2 linked regions of the Oryctolagus cuniculus genome follow. The protein of the gene in region 1 purifies or fractionates together with the protein of each later gene. This does not show direct contact. Links are inferred from orthologs where the notes say so. Each region holds a gene or a part of one and is shown on either strand. Other genes may lie near its edges.

Evidence for each region. Proteins that work in one complex are often made in the same cells at the same time.
Region 2: the proteins of KAT8 (region 1) and PHF20 purify together in Homo sapiens (affinity purification with mass spectrometry; 3 studies listed by BioGRID and IntAct, counting the BioPlex papers as one, with this or other methods). This does not show direct contact. The link is inferred for Oryctolagus cuniculus from reciprocal best matches to the Homo sapiens genes KAT8 and PHF20.

Annotation. Positions count from the first base shown.
Region 1 is NC_091450.1:6,067,025-6,071,765, forward strand, and holds the start of KAT8 (histone acetyltransferase KAT8), read right to left. Parts: upstream 2,866-4,741; 5' UTR 2,808-2,865; coding exon 2,597-2,807; intron 1,475-2,596; coding exon 1,400-1,474; intron 1,310-1,399; coding exon 1,134-1,309; intron 1-1,133.
Region 2 is NC_091442.1:22,301,823-22,305,737, forward strand, and holds the end of PHF20 (PHD finger protein 20), read right to left. Parts: intron 833-3,915; coding exon 690-832; downstream 1-689. UniProt on the Homo sapiens protein: Methyllysine-binding protein, component of the MOF histone acetyltransferase protein complex.

The DNA.
Region 1 (4,741 bases):
CCATCCCACAGCTTAAAAAACAGCACTGCAGGGGCCGGCACTGTGGTATAGGGGGTAAAACCACTGCCTGCAGTGCCAGGATCTCATATGGGTACCTGTTCAAGTCCCAGCTGCTCCACTTCAGATCCAGCTCTCTGCTGTGGCCTGGGAAAGCAGTAGAAGATGGCCCAAGTGCTTGGGCCCCTGCACCCATGTGGGAGACCCGGAAGAAGTCCTGGCTCCTGATCAGTGTAGCTCTGGCCGTTGCGGCCAATTAGAGAGTGAACCAGCAGATAGACCTCCTCCCCTTTCTCTCTGTGCCTTTCTTCCTCTCTGTGTAACTGACTTTCAAATAAATAAATCTTTAAAAAAAAAATAAAAAAGAACCCACACTTTGTCACCAAATGGTTTCTGACTTTTCACAGTTACCGGCACTGAAGCTGGCAGAGCCAGCCCCTAACCGGGTTCTTCAAGCCGTCGTGGGCCTCTCCTGTAGGGGATGACAAGGCTGCTCACCTCACAATTCCCTGCAGTAAACACTGGGCCTAACACTTGGGCTCACAGACCACTGTCTGGCATTATGATTCTCGCTTCAGCCCGCCTTCTGCTAGCTGTGTGACCTTGGGCATGTTACTGGATCTCTCTGAGCCTGCTTCCTCTTCTACCATAGAAATAACTATCCTTATGGCACTGAACTGTTAGGGAGGACGGGATGAGCTCACACACGTATAGGACTCAGGATGGTGCCCAACGTCATTCATTCATTTCCTTTCCTTTGTACTTCAAGCATTTTTGTCTAATGTCTAGGAGCCAACAGAAGACAGAGAAAGAAGCGCTGGGAGGCAGGGTTCCCATCCCAGCTAGGTATTTGCTCGCTGGGCAACTGCAGCCAAACCCTTGCCCTCTCAAGCCTGAATTTTCCTCCCTATGAAGAAGAGTACACAAAAGGTCAGGGAAGTCTCTGGCACACTATAGGAAGCATCAGAAATGGGACAATCTCTCTCTCTCTATGTAACTCTCAAATAAATAAAATAAAATGAAAATTTAGACCAAAAAAGAAACGGGAGATGTGTTGGCACCAGGGCCTGTGAAGCCCGGGGGAGCTGGTAGAGGCAGCGGGGCCTCCCGGGCCCTGGGGAAGGGGGGCCCCGGACCTTCTGCACGTGGTTGATCTCATCGTGCTTCCGCTTTTGGTTGCGCGTGATCTTGCGCTCAGGCTGCTCGGCCAGCTCACTCAGGTACTTCTCCGAGTTCTTCTGCACGGCGTCCTTCACTGTCTTGGTCAGCGCCAGCCGGTTCTTGTCCACCCATTCGTCCAATCGCCGGTTGACTGTGAGGATGGTGCGGATGGGCTGTGAGGGCTGCTGCCCGGCTGGCCCTTCTCCCACCCACCCAGGCCAGACTGCCCCAGGTCACTCACAGCCCACATAGTGCACATAGAACTCCTCTCGGCCCTCCTGGTCATTCACTCGAGACTGGATCACCTCGGCCGAATCTGAAGGACAAAGGGCAGGATCACCAGGACGCAAGGACCAGGACGAGAGACCCTGGACACGGAGGAGCAGCCTCCAGGTCTGTGGGGCCGCAGGTAAGCTAACCCCACCCAAACACATCTGCCAAGCTATTTCAACTTTCTGAGCTTTCGTTTCTCCATATGAAAAATAAGACCAACAGCGCCCACCTCAGAGAGTGAGCTCATGCCTCTGAAATCTTTCAGCCGGTGCCTGACCACTCACAGCTCACTTAGTAAGTGAGTAAGGCAACCACTGCGCGTCTGGCCCTACACCCGGGTACAGAGGGCAGGGCAATGACTCACAAGAGCTCCTGCCCTCCAGAAGTTCCCAGTCTGATAGGGGAGAAGACACAGCCCGGAAAATGACAACAGTAAATGTTACGAGCACCGCAGCGGCTGAGGTATGCAAACAATGTTGCAGGCCTGTGCACAGGGAACAGCTCACTCTGCCTGCAGGGGGAATCAAGCGTTGCATCAGAGAAGATGAGTTAAAAGGATAAGGAGGAGCGAGTCAGGCGGCGCAGGGAGGCAAGGAAGACAAGGTATTCCAAGCAGAAGGCACACGTGGTATAAGGCATCCTAGGGTATTCAGAGGGCAAAGCGCGTTCTTGTCCGGCCAAGACTGGGAGCCCCAGAGGTCACAAAAATGGATGCCATTCTAAGGAACTTGGGGTTTGTTTGGAAGATGACGGAAGGCAAAGGAATGTAAAGCGAAGAGGAAGCTTGTTTGGGGAGGGGGTGGTTCTCTGTTGGCGGCCGTGGGGGACAGATGGAAAAAGCAGAGATCGATAAGGAAGGAGAGTTAGTAAAGAAAGAAAAGGGAATGAAGCCTAAAACCCGGAAAGGAAGTGGAAGGGGAGCTCTGTAGACAATCAGAATTTGAAGATCGCCTGGCTGGTGGGATCTGGGCGGCGCCCAGCACACCTCGAAGGGTAACAGCCTGCCTCTACGCTGCGGCTTCCGCAGCGCCGGCTACAACGCCTACTTCCTCAAGCCCCACCTCCCCTCGACTCCCAGCGCCCAGCTCTCGGCCCCTGCGAGGACCCGTCCTCCGGCCCTGCCCCGCCGCAGTCCCCGCCCCCTGGCCCCGGACCCCGCCCTCACGCCAGGTGCTATCCGGCCGCCGGCACAGGTAGGTCTCTCCGATCTCCACCGTGACTTCTGGCTCGCCGCGCGCCGGCGTGGGCGGGGAGACGCGGCCCGGGGATGGGGCGGTCCCCTCGACCGCCGCATTCTCCCCTGGCCCGGGCTCGCTCTCCCCTGCGACCCCCGAAGTCGCCGCCGCAACCGCCGCAGCTGCTCCCTGGGCCGCCATCGCGGTAGAGGAAGTGACGCCAGAGTCAGGCGCCGCGCGCGGCTGTTTTCGCTCCGGGTCAACAGTGCGCGGGGGCGGAGCGTCAGGCCGGGTGGGGCGGGGTCTGTGATGTGGCGGGAGATTATTGGCTCGTGCGGCCGTCCTCTGCGCGCTGGGCGTGCGCACTGCGCTTTGCGTTGTCGGGGTTGGGAGATAGACTTTCCTGATGTACTGAGGTCGGTCTTTCTGATGGCCAAGATGTGCCGATTTTCAAGGGGTCGCTGCCCCTACTTTAGCGGAGCGGAGCCAGCATGGCCTCCTTAGCTCCCGGACGCCGGGATTGTGAGCCCGGGCTTAGCAGCCCGCCCGTGAGCCGCCCACCTGGGCCAGCCTGGTATCGGCCACCTGTAGTTTCTAAGGTTGAGGACACTGCTTCCTTTGTTCAGGTTGGGAAAAAGTAACCGCTGAGGTCGCGACAGCCGGACAGGTGTGTCCAGGGATGCCCTCCCAGAACAGTCTATTAAAGAAAGGAGCTGGTGCCGAAACCACCGGAGCAGAAACTCGCCCGGGGGCAGAGTGAGGTCTAACCCTGCCCTGGATAAGGTGCACACGCGTGCAGATGACCTGAGAGCCGGCACAAGTTAATACAGGTCCATACGGGTGGTAAGACTTTTAGCACTAAAACTGACGGTTACGCGTGTATGCTATCTCAGAGCCGGCAGAGTAGGCATCCAATAAATATCCCCTTTGCCCATTTTCTGAATATTCTTTGATTTAGTTATTGGATTTAGAATCAATTTTTTAAAAATATTTGTTCATTTACTTGAAAGAGTCATATATAGAGAGAAGGAGAGGCGGGGGGGGGGTCTTCTGTCTGCTGGTTCCCTCCCCAGTTGGCTGCAACGGCTGAAGCTGCGCCCATCTGAAGCCAGCAGCCAGGGACTTCTTCCGGGTCTCCCATGCAGGTGCAGGGGTTCAAGGACTTGGGTCATCTACTGCTTTCCCAGCCCATAGCAGAGAGCTGGGTCGGAAGTGGAGCAGCCAGGACGCCAACTGGCGCCCATATGAGATACTGGCACTGCAGGTGGCGGCTTTACCCCTTATCACCACAGCGCCAGCCCCTGGAAGCAATTCTGAGAGGCGTGGAATGCCCAGGAGAGTGGAGCTCAAGAAATACCTGCTAGAGGGATCCCGGGCCGATGGCAGTGGGGAGGCACTGGTAACTTGGCTCTTGGGAAATGAAGAAATTTAGGGGGCTAGTGATTGCTGTGTATCTGACATGATAAACATCACAGAGAAAAGATGAAAATTCTACTCCCTGCACCCTCTCCAGACTCCCTGCCTTGAAGATTCTTACTCCACCTACCCAGGGGACTGACAGCTTCAGTTACCCAGGCTGTCCCTTCCAGCGAAGGGTTAGCCAGAACTTTATTAATCCCTGATCAGGGTCACTGCTTCGGCCTCCACCGTTCTCCCTCCAGTCGTCTGGCAACCCATGATTCTTCCAACGTGCAGATCTGATCGCTGGGCCCAGAGCTGCAGGTGCTACACTCAGACACCCCCGCGGCTCTTGGTTATTTTCTGTCCCTAGGTCACCTTGGTGGGGTGCACTGGCCAGCACCGCAGGCTCTTCTTGGAGGAGCTGCCCCTAGGCTAATAGGGCTGTTTGGGAAGTTTTGAACCCGGGAGTTTGAGTGCGCATCTCTCCCCCCCTACACACACGCTCCCACTCCCCACACTTTCACAAACGCCTGTGAAGTGGAGGAATGAATGAATGAACGTTCCTGGAGTTTAGGTCTCTTGCCTCCGACTCTGAGGCATTCTTTCCTGGCTCTGGACTTTTTGCTCCAAGGCCCCGCGCCCCCTGACCGCTGCACAGCGCCCCAGCCCCAGTTTCTGCACAGTGGCCAGCCAGCCGGATTTTCAACCTCACAGGTCAGGGGCGACTCCATCAC
Region 2 (3,915 bases), on another chromosome or scaffold:
CCTCCTAGATTGTTAACACAGTGAGATTCTAGTTCCTCCAAGGGCTGTAGGGTTCTGCTACAAAAGCCAACTCTGGGGTGAGGTTACACAGAACTCGTCCCGGGTACCAGGAAGTCATGCAAAAGATGTGAGAAAAGTGAAGTGTCCTACTGGAAAAGCATGGCAGCCAAGGCCTCTGCTGCTTCCCAGCCACCACCGAATGGTCAAGTCCCAACCTTCCCGTTAGGCTGGAACATGAAATGATGCCTGCTGCCTAAACACCATGCCAGGCAGAAACCAGCAGGGTTGGCTACCCCAACCTGACAGAAGTCAATTAAATAAACTGCAAGTAGAATTTACAACTGTCCCCAAATAAACTTTTTTGGCTCTCATTCCATTTATCATCAGTGGCACGATTTCAAGTGAAGTTTGTGCAAAATGACTCTTCTTCATTCAACGATGTGCACAGAAGAAGGGAATCCCAAAGAGTCTATCTGCCAGCTTCTTGGCAGGCTTCAAGATCAGAGTGCCCTGTCCTCCAGCAGCCAGAAATGGCCTCTCCGTCCAACATCCCTCACATTCCTGGCTGGATCCCTGAAGTCAGTTGGTGTCACGTGCATTCGGCATGCTAGGTTTGTTCATTTAAATACGTGAAGCTCCTCTTGCAGGTGCCCCAAGGTGGTGCCGCCATTAGTTCTGGGTGCCCAGTTTCATGTAGAGCAGCAGAGGGCAATCTGCTGCACCTTGCCCAGGTCTGTAAGTAGCTGCTTGATGCAGTGCTTGAGTTGTGGCAGCCTGGCCAGTGGCTCTGGGGGCTCCAGTTCCCCGGTATAGTCCAGCCAGCTCTCCAACACTGTGGCAGAAGAGAGAAAGAAGACTCTGTGAGCCCTCAACACATCATTTGCAAGAAGATCAACAAGGTTCTCAGCACCTTATCCTGTTGCGAGCTGGGAAGGAGGGACACTGAAGCCAACATTATCTCAATACCTGCTCTACATACTCCTGGAAGAAAGCTCAGTTGCTTTGGAGCAGCAGAGTCTTGTGCAATGATGAGAATGGTCAGCATGGTCCAGTACAGTAGCCACATGCAGCTCCTGAGCACTTGAAACATGGCTAGTGCAATTCAGGAACTGAATTTTAAATTTACTCTGTTCGCTGGTGGCTACTATATTGGACAACTGGGTCTAAAAGGCTTTCAAAGACCCACCTTTCTTAGTGTGACTGCCCACTCTTTACAGAGCTTGCCCATGTTGCAAATCAGAAAGCCTGGTCTTTTAGGATCAAAAAAAAAGGGGGGGGGGGACTTGAAAGGCTCTGTTTTTTATCACCATAAACTCTGATTTGCTTTATATTAGTTCCTGTGCTTACCCAGCTTGCCAAGAGCCATGCCTCAACCCGTGCTGAGCACCTCTGGACCCTGGAATGCAGAAGGAGGCAGACCTACCCAGCCAGTGTCTGTTCCTCCGGCCGCCTGCAGCCTACCACACAAACCCCAGCTCTCACACCTAACCCCACCGTCCTCTCCACCTTTCTAAATCCTTTGTTCCCAGCAAGTTACTCCTTAGGGAAGCCTCCTCAACTCTACACTCTGAATCTACTCCCTGAGTTACAGAGGCTATGGTACCATATGTTCTCCTGTGAGCATTTAATAATCTGTGATTAACCACAAGGAAATAAGAAAAACAAGACTGCCTTTTTGTACCCACACTTGGAAACCAAAAGTAAAAAATCCAAGTCATGTGAGAGGGACTAGTGGTCATCTGAACAGCAACTCCACAGTCACCAGTTTCAATCCATCAGTAAGTCTTAAAAAACAAGATCTAGAGGGCAACAACAGACTGCTGAGCAAACAGGCACAAGAATAAATGGTGGGGCCTGTGCTATGGCGAGTGGGTTAGCTGCCTGCAGAGCCAGCATCACATATGGGTGCCAGTTCAAGTCCCGGCTGCTCCACTTCCCATCCAGCACTCTGCTGTGGCCTGGGAAAGCAGAAGACGGCTCAACACCTTGGGCCCCTGCGCCCACGTGGGAAATCTGGAAGAAGCTCCTGGCTCCTGGCTTTGGATCGGCCTAGCTCCAGCTGTTGCGGCCACTTGGGGAGTGAACCAGCAGATGGAAGACCTCTCTCTCTCTCTCTTACTCTCTGCTTGTGCCTCTGCCTAACTCTGCCTTTCAAATAAATAAATAAATGGAGAAAAGGCAGTCAGGACTGGATGGATCAATTTGAAAGGGGAGGGTAGACAGTGTCTTAGGCAAGATGCTGCTGCAGGTGCTGAGCGACCCCTCTTAAGATCACCTGAACTACCTCCGATCTGGTGCCAGGCTTGCTGCAGAGGGCACCCCTCAACAGCGGCTCAGGAGACAAGCGCAGGGAAACAAGCAGCAGCATGAAGACTGGCACAGTGTATGTCACTCAGTAGTGTCCGAGCATGGTTTATGGGAGTGTCTGGAACTCCTGAGACAGAAGCTCGCTCTCCAGATCTGCTGGGCTGAAGAACAGGGCCAAAGGCATGGGAAGTCAACAGCATCTTGGGACCCGAGAGTCCGGCAGGCCAGCCCCCCGAGCTTTGGGCTGCCCACACCATTATCCCAACTTCGCTCTTCAGGGAGTGAAACCACTTCTAAGTATACTTCTAAGTATAATGGTTGCTAGCAAGACAAGGTCACCACGGGAAAAGTTTCACTTCAAATACACTCTTCAAGCTCATCTGTATAGAGACCATTGTTCACTATGGTATTTTTTCCTTAAAATAATACTTCTAAATATTAAATACTAAAATATTTAATATTTCACTTTTAATGATCATTTAATTTCCTTTGTCTTTTATTTTTATCATTTATCTGAAAGGCAGAGTGACAGAGAGACACCCACACATATACAGAAAGAACGAGAGTGAGAGAGAGTCCATGTTTCCATCTGCTGATTCACACCCCAGATTCTCACAACAGCCAGGACTGCGCCAGGCTGAATCTAGGAGCCCAGCATTCCATCCAGGTCTCCCATGTGGATGGCAGGGGCCCAAGCACTTGAGACATCATTTGCTGCATTCTCAGGCACATCAGCAGGAAGCTGGATCGGAAGCAGAGGAACCAAGACTTGAACCTGCACTCATGTGTTGGTTGCAGTTGTCCTAAACAGTTGTTCCACAATGTCTTCTTTCCTTTGCCCCCACCCCTTTTTAAGATTTATTTATTTATTTATTTATTTATTTGAAAGGCAGAGTTACACACAAAGGCATAGGCAGAGAAAGAAAGGTCTTCCATCTGCAGGTTCACTCCCCAAAAGACCACAACGGTTGGAGCTGTGCCGATCTGAAGCCAGGAGCCAGGAGCTTCCTCTGGGTCTCCCACGTGGGTGCAAGGGCCCAAGGCATTGGGCCATCTTCTACTGCTTTCCAGGCCACAGCAGAGAGCTGGATGGGAAACGGAGCAGCTGGGACTTGAACTGGCATCCCATATGTGATGCTGGCACTGCAGGTGGCGGCTTTACCTGCTATGCCACAGCACTGGTCCCCCTTCCTTTGCCTTTTAAACTACTATTCACAAAGCTTTATAAATTATTAAATAATGGTTAATAGTAAAAAATGACTTTTATCTATGTGTGTCAATATGATAGCTTTTCTGTTTTCCTATCTGCTGGGTCAGTCCCTAAATACCTTCAATGAAAAGGCTGGGCAAGATCAAAGCCAGGAACTCCATCCAGGTCTCCCATGTGGATGGCAGGGACCTAACTAATTAAACTATTACCTGCTGCCACACAGAGTATGCATGAATAGGAAGCTAGAATTCATAGTGGGGCCAGGACTTGAACACAGGTGTCATAACCACTAGGACAAATACCTGCTCCACTAGGCTTTTTTTTTTTTTTTTTTTTAAAGGACTGTTACATCCAAATTTCTATAAAAGCTTAGTTCATCTTGATGGCATTTAAATGAA